Schizosaccharomyces pombe: one gene and its partners. Changing the gene in region 3 together with the main gene of any one other region gives a genetic interaction. Each region holds a gene or a part of one and is shown on either strand. Other genes may lie near its edges.

Region 1 (7,183 bases), 3.5 Mb from region 3:
AGATGGTAGAGAATTTATTCGTTCCTCTGTTCAGAAACTATTAGGATTCTCTAAAGATGAAAAAGCCATTACAGTCTTTCCTCCGAGAAAGCGAGCACGTAAATTGGAAGAAAATAAAGATCCTGTGAGACAGGATATTCCCATCCCTCCTGTATTTTCACACTATGTAATGAATTTACCCGGATCAGCGATTGAATTTTTAGATGCTTTCAAAGGTTGTTATTATGGATTGGAGTACTTGTTTAAAGACCGCTCTCTTCCAAAAGTTCATGTTCACTGCTTTTGTAGATTTCCCGATCCTGAGGAAGATCTTATAAATGTATGAAATGCTTACTTTAAATGAAAATTTACTAACCAAGTTTTTTTAGCGGATATACGCTTCGTTGGGGTATCGTTTTTCTCCTGAAGAAGTTGACTTTTATTATGTCCGAAAAGTTGCTCCCAACAAGGTAATATCCTTCTTTATATAGCACTTTTAATGTAACTAACTAAACAACTAGGATATGTACTGTTGTACTTTCACGTTACCTGGTTCTATAATATTTGCTAAACCGGTTTCAGGTTAGTCTTTATAGGATTGAAATGTCGTTCAGGAGAAGATGAGCTATTTTGGGCTTATTATTTTTTCATTACTTTAACTGTTACATATCCTGTAGAAAAAACCTCAGTAAAAATAAAAGTTATAAATCCAAAAAAGTCTTGTAAGTTGACAAAAGTAAACTTTTTTCAAAAAAATTAGTGTTATTAATATTATTACTATTATAATTATTATACATTCGAGAAACAAAAAGGAAAAAATTAAAGAGAGTATGGTAACAACAAAAAATGAGCAATCACGATTAACAAACGTTTGAACTCATTTATTGCAAAGCCGGGCTATATAACCACGTAAAAGGAACGCGTTGATAGGCAAGTATAACCGTCCATCAAACATGCGAGGAATAGCAGCATTAATATCGATTCTGGTAGGTGTCAAAGCTATAGCTGGCGTATTTCGATTAGCACAATTACTTGATCGAACAATCTTTAATATAGAAACACCAGAAACACGAGTTAAATCTAATTGCAGAAATATGATCGAAAACTTCTCATCAGCCATTAAAGTTCTTAACATTTTGTCCTCATCGGTAACAATAGATACTTGAAACTTGTATGATTTTAGTAACTTGATCAGCTCTGAAAACAAATTCAGCTTGCTGACACATATCAAAGCCTTTAAGGGGACTGAAGAAGAGAAAAAAGGAGGGGTCTTTGAGAGTGGAGAAGACAAAGGAGATGCTTGACCCTCCTCAATTTTAAACGGATATGAAGTTTCCAAATTCGAAATCGGAAGATCAAGATTAAAAAGATCATCACTTTCAGAAGAACCAGTTGATTGATTCGTATGAGAGCTATGCTTTCGCATATGCAGTTGCTTAATCAAATCGTGCATTGACTTCGGGCCATCAGTTTTAGAACGAGATTCAACATCAGAACTGTTAATGGACTTCCTAGGTGTTGAATCAGTGGAAGAAAAATTAGAGCCCTGGTTTGTCATTAAAGAGGGACTTAAAGTTAGTTGCTGATCATAAAGTTTTGCAGAAGGCATATCGGAACCAGGGGTGTATCCAATGTGTGGATCCGGAGGGGATATATGTAATTTGCCAGCTATTTCTGATCTTATTTTTTCAATAGCATTTCGATTAGCTCTTTCCAAAACGCTTAAATTTTTATAAGAAAAGGGACCAAACTCGTCAAACTCTGAGTTAGCTTCGCTAAATCGGCGGCTTCTACGAGCTGACGTACTTCTCTCACGACTGCGACCATGAGATGAACGAAGGAATTGTGAACCTCTTTCCTGAGAAACATTATTATCCTTAGAAACTTCCTCTCCGCTATTTACAGATGAGCTCATGTTAGATTCTGCAGCCCCAGCTCCACGACTATCAAAATATGCAGTATCAAGTGGGGTTTCTGGTGCAGGTATAAAAGGAGCCTCGTGTGAAAAAATGTCATCCCAATTAATCCCATTAAAAAAAGGATGTTCTTTGATTTCATTAATATCCGAAAACCCAAGTCGTCTCTCCGGATTTGGCTGTAGAAACCCATTAATCAAGTCTAATGCTTCCTCGGAACAAGGATACATTTCTAAATCGGGCCATGCAATGTTATTAGCCAAAATATTTTCAAATACCTTTTCCGGGGTCTCTGCGTGAAAAGGTGGATAACCAAACAGAAACTCAAACAACACACAGCCAAGAGCCCACCAATCAACCATATCATCCTGTGTACTTCCGCGAAGAGTTTCAGGTGCTAAATAGTCAGGAGTACCAACGAATCTTTTAGGAGCATCAGGTTGTCTAAAAAAAGGAACCGATTGTAAATTAGGAGTCCGATTGACTTTCTGAGAGTCAACTGGACTTTCTAAATATTTACTAGAGATGCTATCTATGCTCGTACGAGTAGTAGTAGTGGTATCATCCTCTTTATACGTAGTAAATGTAGCCAACTCTGTTTTTTGCTTTTGCGATTTTTCATCATACGAAAAAGCACTAACACTGGTAGGTAAAATCAAGGGAGAACTGGCAATATTATCACCGGGATCACCCAACGCAGTAGGAGATTGAAAGCTGGGTGGTGACAAAATATTATTTTTACCCTTTTGTAAACGTAATTGCCGTGTAGTTAAACCTAACTGACTTAAGCCGAAATCCGCTAATTTCAGATGTCCAGTAATACTCATAAGGATATTGTCCGGTTTAATGTCACGATGAATTATACCAAGCCTATGTAAATGCTCAAGACCTAATGCAACTTCAGCAATGTAAATTTTTGCCCACGATTCCGGTATAGTGTACAACGATTTTAATAGGGATGCACAATCCCCTCCATTCATGAATTCCATAACAAGATAGAGGTAATCCCTACTTTGAAAGGCATAATACAATTTTGCAACAAATGCAGATTCTTCTTGCGCCATAAGCACAGCCCTTTCAGCTTTCACATTAGCGACCTGATTTTTTGAAATCATGTCAACTTTTCTTAAGACCTTAATGGCGTAAATCTCCCCAGTGGTATTTTTACGGGAAAGGTAAACAGTGCCGAAGGTTCCTTTACTAATAGGCTTTATAATTTCGTAATCTTGAATAGAAGGAGTCCCTTTACCACTGCTAATGTTGGATGACAGTGTCGATATGCCAATCTGGCGACTCAAAAATGGTTTTGGTGACTCTGTTTCACGGAAAGAATTACGCTCAACTGGGACAGTAAGTTTACTAAAGGGAAAACTTTCAGAGGTATAGGAAGAACCAACTCCATATAAAGTATTAACTGCACTCACAGATTTTCTTCTAGAAGCAATGGGGATTGCAAGGTTGTTGCGACGGCTTAGGTTGGGAGATCCACTATTAGTACTACTGTGATTTGTAGAGGAACGGTGGACTGAAAAAGAATTGGATGAATCAACACTAGCAGCAGTAATCGGCGGATCATTCCTATGGTTGAACTGTGAAATATCGTGCACTTCCTCAGGAGAAACAGAAGGCTTAACTGTATTAAATGGTTCGCATTCAATAATAGGAGATTGTGTCATAAGGGTTTCTTGAATTGGTTCAATAAGTGTAGGAGTCGTAGTACTGAGAGGTTCGTCATAACCATCAACTTGAATGGATTGTTCAATAATGGTCTGCACTTGATCTTCAATTTCACAACGAACACGCTCAGAATAATAGATGATGTTGCTGAGACGATTAATGGCATCAAGCTTTTTTTTTACTAAGGCATCCGTGTTTTCAAACATCAATTGCAACCCAGGGTCATCAATATGTGGTAAGCACCATGAAAGAGTTTTTGCATTGAAAACCTCACTAGCTGGTGATAATAAGCGTATTTCACTAAATGGTTGATTGTCTTCCCTGGTAGTGGATTCTGGTATGAAAGGTAAATGGATGGCTAAACAACTATCTGTATAACTTATGGCATCAAACAGCATGTTACTAATGTAATTTCTAATTTTTTGGGACAACGATGACCGGGAATTCGACTTCGCGGAGGAAGTAATAGAGGAAGGAAGGACGGCGGCGAGAGGAACTCCCAAATATGATACATCTGGTTCTATCTGATCGTCCAAAGAATCCAACAAACTTTGTAAAGCATTTCTTTGTTCGTTAAGAAGGTCATTTGCTTCTTGAGCACGTGCTTCAGCATGGTGAATGAGAAGACAAAGTTCAGTATGATGCTCAAAGTACCAATTTTGAATTTCATGATCGCAAACCCTGCAAAGTACTGTTTCAAAGGGAGGAAGACTATCGGTGGAAGGAACGGTTTGAAGCTTTTCAAGATGTTGGGCCAGTAACTGAGCTCCAAAACCTAGAGTTTCTGTGAGTTGCTGGCCTATTTCCTGACGAGTGATTCGCGTGGGCTTCAAAGGTTGCAAAACCCATAATGTATGAGAGGGTCGGCTGGTTAAGGGATCACGAATGAGGACACCAACGCAATCCAATTCGACAGACTTTGATTGCAGCTCCATTTCCTCATCCTGAACAAAGACATTTTCCTCCAAGGAGGGCAGCTTCGAAATCACGGTATGAATTTTAACACTGTGGGAGTCATCGTCAAGAAGCTGTTCAATGGCTGCGTTGAATATCTCCTGGTCGGATGACAGAAGAGCTGCAGGTTTGCCAGTAAGTTCTAACGAACTAATTCTATGCAACTTGGTTAGTAAAAGACCTAGCAATAAATTGAAAAAGAGCAAGATTTCAAAAGTTGAAGGACAGAGGCGACCCAAGGAGTATCAGCCATAGCTTGGCCAATCCAGCTTAAAAGAACTAAAACAGGTCGGCAGCAAATAGAAGATTTAAGTATTATACGTATGACTTACAGATCAAGGCAATTGAAGCCTTATTCAATGGCTATTTTTGCGTAATCTGCAAAGTCATACCAACCGAATCGTTAAAAGAAAGATACAAATTAAATGTACAATATAAATATTCTAGCAAGCAATGGTATCCTTCTGCCAACAACACAGAGAAATTTCGTAACATCGCCCGCTATTCCACTGCACTTACCCGGTAATCTGTGAGAAGTTTGTACTTGCAAACAGCACAGATCCGTCTAAATCTAACTCCAAGACATAAATGTTGTCTATTCCGTGATTTACTTTGTTATCCTCGTTGGAATTGCGTTCTTGCATTACCATTAACTTTATAACTCCATTCAGATTTTGATCCTAATGTGCGACAAGTAAAACCATTCGAATACAATTAGCGTTTCGTTATTTCATAAAACCCAATCTATCGACTAAAAAAACATAGACAATACGGTAACCAATTGATATTCTAATCAAACACCCAATTTATGAACGTGGGTGGCTCTTGATGACTGTGTCAATATTTATATGAGTGAGCAGTGCGTAGAGGCTAATCATTGTTACCCTGGGACGATTGATACCTGTGCTTACTTATCCCTTGATCAGGATTCACTAAGGGGAGAGATCGCGAGCCGATGTCTTAAATAACGATTTCGATGGCAATAATTATATAATTATATATCGTTGATCGCTATACTTCGGTTTATGAATTTTCATTGCAAGATGAAAAAAGGTTGGTGATTGAAAGGAAAGCGAGACAATGTAATGCAAGCTGTAGAAATGCGGATTTTTTTTGGAAATGTCTTCCATGATGTGTTATTCTGCTTTCATTTCTGTAACATGATTTTGCGCGGAAAGGTCTCAAACAAAAGTGCGACTGCGCGCATGCACGTATGCGCTTAATCCGCTTAGTACCAATTATAGATGGAGGATTGATATTTTGGCAGTTAGGATTAAAACCTGTTCTTCTTCAATCCCTCTTTAAAGCAGGGATACCCTCCTTGCAGCCCAACTATTCCTCCGATTCGCACTACTAATTTGTTCACAGGCTAATGTTTACAGATCTGTTGGAATAGGGATGAATGCGCCCATTCATAGTGTTGAAAATAGGATATTCGAGTTGCTTTGTTTAGACACCCCATCATTCAATATGCTCACAGCTGTGTTGGTAAGGAATGCATATGTATTATTGATGCATAAGGAGTTACCAATTTGTTAATAGATAAGTAGGTCATAACTGCTATTCTTTTCCAAAATCATAATTTCTGTCGCTTTTCATTAGTACCTGCTGAATAAAATTGGTAATGGATGGGTCATCAGAGAAACCGTTTTCTGTACCGGATTTTACACTCCCACGCTCTCATGCACAGCGTTCTAATAAATTTCCGTATATCTTAAAAGAATACATTATACTCTATGTTAAGATCATATTTCCAAATTCGATTACTTGACAGTTGACTAAAAGAGTGTATAGCGTGTACACTACCACAAAGAAAAGTTCCATTTTAGAGTTGAACCCCCGAAATTCATTCGAAAAGCAAAACGATTTCCTTTACTATGTTTTTTCTAAATTTTCCATATCGTAACGAAAATTTTGGTAGGGAGAATAACTCACTCATCACAAGTTGATCATTTTATTGCATACATGGTAAAACCCATTTTTAGAGAAAACGCATCGGCTGATACTAATTTGCAATAAAAAATATATTATCATCCCTGGCAACTGTTTATTAGTTTTAGGTTAGCATGGGAAGAACAGTGGTGTGGAAAACGGTTAAATTAGGAATTGCTCGATAATTCAAGCACATGGAAAACTTACACCAACTTCTTCTTTAACAACTTGAAATTAACGTCTCCATCATTGTCGTATTCATAATAGTGCAATATTACTGTATAATCTAACAACTTACACAATACAATATTAGTTATTCTTAGCTACAACTTACTTGAAAACATTAATCACATGACTTTTCTTATAAGCTAAAGATTCATTATATTTCGAAATGAAATTACGAGATGTTAAAGAATCACGAATTCAAAAAAATAGACGACCATAACAGTGTCAGGTTTCTTAGATACTCTGCTTTACTAACATAGCGGGCAGAAATATAAAAGATTCTTGAGATGCAGTTATGCTCGTAAAAAATAAATAACCGATAACCGCTGTGAACGAGAACAAAAAAAGCACATGAAAAAGCCTTGAGCTCAGTTTAGCTAATCGATAATTCGAATGAACATAGAGAAGTTTATATTATTCAGCGGTCACCACGATCATACAAACAACAAACCATCAGATATATTTCATCAAACCACAAGTTAAATTTTCATCGCATACCA
Region 2 (3,799 bases), 730 kb from region 3:
TGGGAAGCTATCCCACTTAGTCGCGATCAAACTGGAATGAATCCTGATGAAGCATCTCGCTTGGAAGTTGAGCATCCAGGCGAAGAAGTCCTTCGTAATAACAGGATTCTTGGACGTCTTATGCCTTCAAGAGCCTTTGGCGACGCTCGTTACAAATGGTCCCAGGAAATTAGCGAGAGACTACACAGAGAATATTTTTCCGCTTCACCCATCCCTGTTAAAACTCCTCCATATGTTACTGCGGTCCCTGAAATTGAAAGTATCACCGTGAATCCAAAGAAGCATCGCTTTCTAATTATGGCTTCCGATGGCCTTTGGGACACTATGTCCAGTGAACAAGCAGTACAATTGGTCGGAGAATGGGCAGATACAGTTTTGGGTAAAACTACCAACGAAAAGAACACAACTCAGGATGACAAACAATCATGGTCGCTGTTTAAGAAAACATCAAAGGTCATTGATGATAATGCTGCCACGCACCTTATTCGACATTCTTTGGGTGGAAGCGACCAAAGAATATCTGCTTTATTAACCTTGACTTATCCAATTTCAAGAAGGTATCGTGACGACATAACTGTTACGGTGATCTTTTTCGACGAAAAAACTTTGTAGATACATACGATAAGGAATGCTATTTCACGCATAACTACTCTTATTCATGAGTAAAAAAAGCAAGAAAAGAAGGAATGCTTAACGACTAATTGAATAATCTGCCAAACACAAAAAAATTGGCACTACGAGAAAATATATATTAACACTTCATTTTTTTATTCCTATCACATTGACCAAGCTCAGTAAGATAAGCCACGCTAAAAAAAAAAGAAAAACAAAAGAAATACAGCAAATTTTTTTCGAAAGTAAAACCGTTGGAGACACCGTATCCACGTGGCGACGAATGGCAACAATTAAATTTTAGAATATGCTCATTTTGCTCTATAGAATGATAAAACGTTACATTGTAAATAAATGTAAAAAGAAAAATAAAGTAAGTAAAAACACTTGAAACTCACAAAAAGACGAGACGACAATAGTGCAATACGCAAGAGCGATGACGAGAACAATCATCAAACATTGGAATTAAACAATGCCATATAGCCAAAATCGTGACAAGTGTTCTGACAACAAAAAAACAAGTGAACCATATAAGAAATTACAAGATAGAACAACAGTTGATAAAGGAAAATGAAAAAAAGATTTAAAGTAAGAAACGAAGAAAAGGAATGCGCGATGCATTGAATAAAACAGAAGTGTTGTCCTCCATCAACTACGTAGAAAAGGGTAAGGAAGAGAAAAGGGAAGTATTAGAGTAGTAAGCGTTTTCATTTCGTAGACTTTTATCGTTATATATTTCTCATAACTCTTGACAGCTGAACAAACGCGTTCGTTCCATTTTGCCAGACCACAATTTTGCACACAGCATTTCCGCACACGACAAGCAATACCAAATTTTAAGAGCCAAGCCAAATTAAACCTCCAACCTTGTCGCAAAAATAGCAACGTGTATGACCTCAATTTTCATTGCTTTCCAAGTCGTGTCGCGTGACAGATTCCCTTCTGCTACTGGCACCACTAGGCGAGGACTCTGAGGGTCGTTTCGTGTGAAGAGACGGCTCTTTATTAGGAGACCCAGCACTGACAACACGGTGAGGAATTGTGTCAGGAGAGGGAATCTCCTTACCAATACAAGTGATACCTGAATCGGAGGCCTTTCCAGCTTTGTTTAAGGCATAGTCGCCTGAATCAAAGTATTTTCTACCTTGCTAAAAAGGGGTAGAGTTAGAATAAATATGACAATTTATCCAAAACACATCCATTCCTCCATACCTGTAATTTTTGAACTAATAGATCCTTTCGCTGAGGAAGTCGTCCATACAAACGGAAAAGCTTCTGTTCTTCTGGACTTAATTTCTATTTCAGTTAATAATCAATTTCAGCTGTACAATCTTAACTTACTGCAACGTCTACTTTCTGCTCTGAATTGCTAGAAGACATGGCGATTATGGTTGTTGACAACATCCATTTGCGCGTTCTTACCATATACCACACGGCCACTTGTCTACCGAAGCCTAAGATACCGCACTGTTAACGTATTAGGTATCATACGTAATTTTGTCGATACGTAAACACTCTAAAATTACTGGATTCCAACGAAATAGCGGCTGAATGAGCTAATCTACACTAAATGATCATTCATTGATTAAGTGGCATTTCTCATGAATGATGAAAAAGTAAAGTGGATAAGGTCGGTTTTATGCCAAATGTCATTTGTTTACTATTTACAAACAACTTGCTGCCTTTGCTATTGTGAGTGGAATCCTTGACGAAGACTTTGCATACTCGCTTGATTAACATGCTTTCTACCGACTCACTTGTTAACCCTACTTTCTTGCCAATAACCTATTCTTTCTAACCTTATCGGGCATTTTATCGCTGCGTCCAAAACTAATAAAAAAAAAATAAAATAATAAAATAATTATTATGAGCAAGGCCGATTTTTAACATGACGACAAGTTCCTTCCTATTGTTAGTCTAGGCAACCTATTTTTGGTGGCTGTAAAAAGTGTTGAATGTCCGACTCAACAGTCCCTTCCCAAAGTGTACAGATAGAAAGAAGAGCAGCAAGGGTAATAATGGGAGATGGGGTTTCTGCACAAATAGTTGAATTTCCATTTACCTAACTTGGAGATCAGAATAAGGACTAGAGAATGAAGTTGCTTCAAGGAGTCGGTTTATCTTGCTAATAGAAAAAGTACTTAGTTGCGAAAAGATTGCATCATGGCGATAACATCTCAAAAATCCGACATTTTCATTCTAATCGTGATACAGGTAGTAGTGATTTGAGGCAACTTTTAGTTGTGAATTGCTCATCCGTCTGAAGTGAAATTAGGAAGTCTTCTTGGCTTACGATTGTCATGTTAGCCTTAGTATTCGCAAAATTACTGTTACATGTGGAAATGACTAAATTTCTCATAGAATTACATATGCGTTCGCACTTTTAGCTAAGCGAGTGGCAGTCAATGAATGATATACATTTGGCATGTTAGCGGATGTGTCGCCTTCATGTTTGCATACTCAAATGTACAATAACGTATGTGCATACGGGAACAATAATTTGGTTATACGTGCATGATTGTTCTTATAGTTAGTTAGTTAGTTGAAGGAGAAACGTTTGGCGATGGACTTGGCTACAAAAAGTTATTGTACCGACCTGTCCAGCATTCATCATCAGTCCTTTGAGTGTACGATATTTGCGCATGGGCTTACTGATAGAGAATACTACCTACAAGTAGGTATTATATCTTTCATTAAAGACATAGTAAATATCTGTCATTTAAAACAGATATTTTGTATATCCTCTAGTACGTATTGTTACTTTACTGTAATTTGCAGTCGAAAAAATTAAGGAAATTGAACAACACAGTTCTAATGTATAAAAGTAAATATGGTGGAAAGTTTAAAGAATATTAAGGTTCGCTTAGTTTTCTGCTCAGCAGGCAACCGCAAAGCGAAAATAGGCATTGTTTTTATTCTTATACTTACAAAAGGAACGGAAACTGTAAAGAATACCGAGTAAGGTCAAGAATTTTTTGGTTTCTGTTTTTGTTTTCTTCGCTTTTACGTGATTTTAATTTAAACTTTTGTATATCATTTATAATTCAGTCATGTCATTCCCCAACCAAATACATAAGGTCAGGATGTGAGTGTAGTTCGGTAATAATGTGGGTAAAAAATCGTTTCGTTCCCGTTGTCACAAAACGATAATTCGGTCCACCGATTCACCATAGCTGGTCAACATAAA
Region 3 (5,111 bases):
TTGGTCATGTGAATATGTTTTGCATGTGGAAGCGAAGATAATACGTTTTCTGTTGCAAATTAGTATGTTAGTAAAATTCTCAACAGAAGCAATTAGTTATGTCTCTGACGAGGTAAATTTTAGATAAAAAGAATATGTTTTATAAAAGTTATTTTATTCGTATGCTGCATAATATCATTCTTTACTTAGGTTTCAAACATACCTATGAAGAAAACCTTAAAACAATAGCGATTTCATGAATATTATAAGAATAATTTAATTCGTTCTAGTTTAATAAGCATCATTTATAGTATGTGAATGCCAGTCAATAAAGTATTTGTGATATTCAAGTCAACTGAACAACGTTGCCTCCGCCATCTACTGGTTACTACAAAATGACTGATTATATCAAAGATAAAGCTATAGCAGCTGATTTTTCTTCAGTTCAATTTCGTTTTGATAACTATTTAAAGCAAAATTTTAATTTCGGAAGGTCTGCCTTGCTAAACTCTGGAAATGGACGCGATTCTGGATCGAAAATGGGTAGCGTGGTTTGCAAGCATTGGTATGTATATATAAAGAAGAGTAATATGAATATATATTTCATGTATTTTTCTATTTGTTTTTGTTTCTACCTTCATGATAACTAATATTATATAAGGCTTCGTGGACTTTGTAAAAAAGGTGAACAGTGTGATTTTTTACACGAGTACAATTTAAAAAAGATGCCTCCATGTCACTTTTATGCAGAGCGCGGCTGGTGTTCTAATGGCGAAGAGTGTTTATATCTCCATTTGGATCCCAGTAAACAAGTTGGTGTCTGTGCCTGGTATAATATGGGATTTTGTCCTTTAGGACCTATATGTCGAGGCAAACATGTACGAAAACCAAGGCCTTGCCCAAAATATTTAGCTGGGTTTTGTCCGCTAGGCCCTAATTGCCCAGATGCTCAGTAAGTTTTTTGAAGAATTATAGTGTTGACTTTCTCTTTCTATTACTAACATGTTCTAGTCCTAAACACTCTGAACCTCCGCATCCTCCTCAAAAGCGGAAAGACTGGTAAAGGATGCGTTTTTTAATGTGTCACTGTATATTAGGTAATGAAATCAAGTTATCAATGGAGTATATGCAATTAGTGATGCCGTACATTGATTATTGAGATTTTTTTTTATGGAATAAAATTAATTATCGACGTTGGGTTTGTCTTGGTTGCGGCGAACCAAATCGACACATAATCGGGATAATAGAAGTATTTAGAAACCGAAAAATAAGTTTTAAATAATAAGTCTCCCTTTTACATATGTTTTTTGCAACATAGAAGGAAAAGAAAATTTAGGAACTTAAGTATCGTTTACCAGTATGTAAAACGCTTACGTAGAGCGCCATCGTAATGTATCAAGGACGGTTTATTCATTTAATCATTCATACGTTATTCGTAAAATATTTGCTACTTTCCAGTTATGTTTCTTATTTTTTTGTAATTTACTTATCTGCTGTATTCAATTTTGCAAACTATAAAAACAATATGGATCTTTTATATGACAATGAACTTCTAGTTTTTTATAATCAAAAACACCTTTCTTTAGCGTACAAATGATTAAGGTTTCATTAATGGGAAATTGCCAACAAGTTTTACACTGGACTTTGTAAAGTTGAGCAAAAAATCCTATGTGTAGTAAAGCGTAAGATGAACACTGAAGTAATGAAATAGTGTTGTATTTATCAAAAATCCATTAATAACTTAAAGTCGCTTAAGGCTTGATTTACCGATAAAAATTTTACTGAGCTTTTGACTCGCCGAAGAGTGGTGTAGATTCGTTAGGGTAGCAGCATTTGATACGAACCATCAAGTTAGGAAAATCAGCAGCCCTCCAAAAAAGCCAGTGAAAACTGGGAAACTTTGTATCAAAACTTTTGAAAAAAGATCCAAAGACGGTATAGAGATACCCTTAGAAATTTGAAGATCAAGATCTTCGTATACAATTGAAATTGGCAAAGTGTACCAACGGGAACGAAATCTTAATATAATACGAGTAGAAGATGGATGATATAGAAGACTCTTTGGATCAGTGGAAATTTGCCCAGTATGTAAACGATGTGTGAAAAAAATTAATGACTAACTCTTTAGATGCTTTGGTGACAAGGGTGATGTGGAAGACATCACTGAAGGTATTGGTTTTGAGTAGTTCTCTCATAAAAGAGTTCTCTTTTACTTTAATCACTGAATAAATGACTAACAAGTTTAGCCGATATCATTTCAGCAGTAGAATTCGACCACACAGGTGATTATCTAGCAACCGGCGATAAAGGTGGCAGAGTCGTTCTTTTTGAGCGAAATCATTCGAAAAAGGGTTGTGAGTATAAGTTTTTTACTGAATTTCAAAGTCATGAACCCGAGTTTGATTATCTCAAGTCCTTAGAAATCGAAGAAAAGATCAATAAAATTCGCTGGTGCAAGAGGACTAATCGAGCGCATTTTTTACTCTCAACGAATGATAAAACTATAAAATTGTGGAAACTATATGAAAAGAATTTGAAAGTCGTTGCCGAAAATAATTTGTCGGACAGTTTCCACAGTCCTATGCAAGGACCTTTGACAACACCTTCGCAACTTCGACTCCCACGACTCAACCATCATGACATGATTATCGCTGCATATCCACGACGTGTTTACGCTAATGCACACGCATATCATATTAATTCGATTAGCGTTAACTCTGATGCAGAAACTTACATTTCCGCTGATGATTTACGTATCAACTTATGGAACTTGTCCATCTCCGATCATTCATTCAACATAGTTGACATTAAACCTGAAAATATGGAAGAACTTACGGAAGTTATTACTAGTGCCGAGTTTCACCCGATAAACTGCAATCATCTCATGTATAGTAGCAGCAAGGGAAATATCAAACTCTTAGATTTGCGTCAATCTGCGCTCTGCGATAATCCATGTAAGCTTTTCGAGGATCAAGAAGATCAAGATTCCAAGAGTTTCTTTTCTGAAATCATCTCTAGCATTTCAGACGTTAAGTTCTCACAAAATGGCCGCTATATTCTTTCAAGAGATTATTTAACTCTTAAGATATGGGATGTCAACATGGAAAAAGCTCCCGTTAAAACTATTCCATTGCATGATGTTTTGCGATCAAAGTTATGCGATCTCTATGAAAATGACTGTATTTTTGATAAATTCGAGTGTACCTTTTCTGGTGACGACAAACACGTTTTATCAGGAAGTTATAGCAACAACTTTGGGATTTACCCCACAGATAGTTCTTTGCCTGGCGATAGAGGACAGATAGTTTTGCAAGCCGACAAGGCTGCATTTAGAGCCAGAAAATCTGCTGCAAATAACGTTCCAAAGTTGAATGCTGTGAAAAATAATGATTGGCGGTCACAACCTCAAGCTGCGATGGGATCTGCTTCTGTTGGCCTTGATCCTGATAACCTGGATTACAATAAGAAGATATTACATGCCAGTTGGCATCCCTTTGAAGACTCAGTTGCCATCGCCGCTACTAATAATGTACGTTTGCTTATCAACTTTTTGTTTACTAATGTTTCAATAGCTTTTTGTTTTCTCTAAGCTCTAATGTCCTTATGTGGAGTTTGGTTTGTTTTTATGATCTACGGATAGACTGAACATAGTTCCTTTTTTATTGAACTTCCGGGAATAAGAGTTTTCTTACCTTCTTCTTTCAGATTGTATTCTTATATACACACACCATTTTAACCATTAATGACAGAAATAAAGTTTTTAGGACTAATGATAAAAGGGTGCTTTGTTTATCTCCCTTCATGTATGCCGTGAATCGATACATATGTACTTTGCTATCCACAGTATTTTTCTTTTTCTCTTTTTACGTGTTCCTTTTTAATCTTGAAATTGTGGTGATGCATCGTAAATTTCAACGTTTTTTCAATATCTCACAAAGTTTTTTTCTCTTGTTGAAAAAAATCTGAATTTGAAATCGTAAAAGTACTTTTCAGGTTAAGCTTCACCATTAATTTACCTTCAGCTCTTTTTTGTTGAACAACGAGTAATAATGTGTTAAGTTTTCTATATAAATGACGGGAGATCGATTGCAAAAATATGACTAAATGTCATAAAGTCTTTGGTTCACTAAAAAGGCTACAATTATTTTTACTAAGGCATGATTCATCAATGCATAAGAAATGATTATTTATACGTATTTTGCACCTGAAAAAAAAACCTAGTAAATTGAGGGAACATTAGTAGCTATAGTAAAAAGAGTAGAAAATCAAATGTAAAGCGAATATATGTATAAACTGAATCATATAGAGTATACCAACACTTAGACTCAATAGGATCTTAAATGCTGAATGACTTTTCTAAAGAATGAAAGAAGGGGAATAGTATAATTTTCGAATGAAGCAATGCGACTGATAAAAGAAACTCCTCACAAATTAGGATATTAACTGAAGAATATGAGTTGAAGAGACAAAGCGAGCAAACAGTGAAAGACGATAATTCCGAACAATAAAAGTTTGCACAAATTTGATCCGGCTTGCTGACAGATAGGATATAAATTTCTAGTTAAAAACACAATGGAAATTAACAAACCAATCCCTGTAAGTACATATTTGACAATATGGGAGGCCAAAGTAGATAGCAATCCAAACGGAGGAGTTGCTAAAGAAACGGGAAGCCAAACAATGTTAGCATATCCATATAAACACAGACAGTCGAGTAACTTAGGGTTGCATTTGTTCCACACTAGGATACCCCATAACAAAACGGCGATAATGGTAGTGTAACCATAAATAATTGATGCTGCAGAGATCAACTTTTTTATAGAATAGCCACTTGTACCATGCCCTGTGGCATAACGAGCGTATTCGGTAATTGAGTTGGAAAAGAATAGAGCCTGTATAACCGTAGTGGTTATCCAAAAAGGACCGTATAAATCGGGACGATCATCTACAACATCAAAGAAATTTACAGTGGGAATAAGAGTATGTATACATCGTTGAACCACATCTTTAGTTTCCACGTTAAATGAATCTTTGATGGTCCATGGCGTCTCTTGCATGGATGCGCGACGAGATTGTAATCTAGGGGCCGGAGGCTTTGTAATGGGAGTTCTCTGCTTATAAAGGTCTTCAGC

The links.
Region 1: of pab1 (region 3) and ppk18, changing one suppresses a phenotype caused by changing the other (phenotypic suppression), as found in Schizosaccharomyces pombe (one study listed by BioGRID).
Region 2: of pab1 (region 3) and igo1, changing one suppresses a phenotype caused by changing the other (phenotypic suppression), as found in Schizosaccharomyces pombe (one study listed by BioGRID).

Annotation. Positions count from the first base shown.
Region 1 is NC_003424.3:3,975,514-3,982,696, forward strand, and holds ppk18 (serine/threonine protein kinase Ppk18), read right to left. Parts: upstream 5,343-7,183; 5' UTR 5,177-5,342; coding exon 5,046-5,176; exon of another isoform or gene 5,001-5,045; intron 4,683-5,000; coding exon 857-4,682; 3' UTR 739-856; downstream 1-738. Other genes in the region: tRNA (guanine) methyltransferase Trm5, read left to right, coding at 1-319, 369-449, 501-566.
Region 2 is NC_003424.3:1,237,134-1,240,932, reverse strand, and holds igo1 (serine/threonine protein phosphatase inhibitor Igo1), read right to left. Parts: upstream 2,038-3,799; coding exon 1,954-2,037; intron 1,909-1,953; coding exon 1,825-1,908; exon of another isoform or gene 1,761-1,824; coding exon 1,509-1,760; 3' UTR 748-1,508; downstream 1-747. Other genes in the region: SPOM_SPAC10F6.17C (bifunctional phosphoprotein phospatase/[pyruvate dehydrogenase (acetyl-transferring)]-phosphatase), read left to right, coding at 1-612. UniProt on the Schizosaccharomyces pombe protein: Plays an essential role in initiation of the G0 program by preventing the degradation of specific nutrient-regulated mRNAs via the 5'-3' mRNA decay pathway.
Region 3 is NC_003424.3:506,600-511,710, reverse strand, and holds pab1 (serine/threonine protein phosphatase PP2A regulatory subunit B-55 Pab1), read left to right. Parts: upstream 1-1,817; 5' UTR 1,818-2,019; coding exon 2,020-2,063; intron 2,064-2,107; coding exon 2,108-2,148; intron 2,149-2,225; coding exon 2,226-3,508; intron 3,509-3,530; exon of another isoform or gene 3,531-3,551; coding exon 3,552-3,575; 3' UTR 3,576-4,189; downstream 4,190-5,111. Other genes in the region: cleavage and polyadenylation specificity factor complex subunit Yth1, read left to right, coding at 375-544, 641-931, 991-1,042; yip5 (Rab GTPase-binding protein), read right to left, coding at 4,419-5,111. UniProt on the Schizosaccharomyces pombe protein: Phosphatase 2A affects a variety of biological processes in the cell such as transcription, cell cycle progression and cellular morphogenesis, and provides an initial identification of critical substrates for this phosphatase.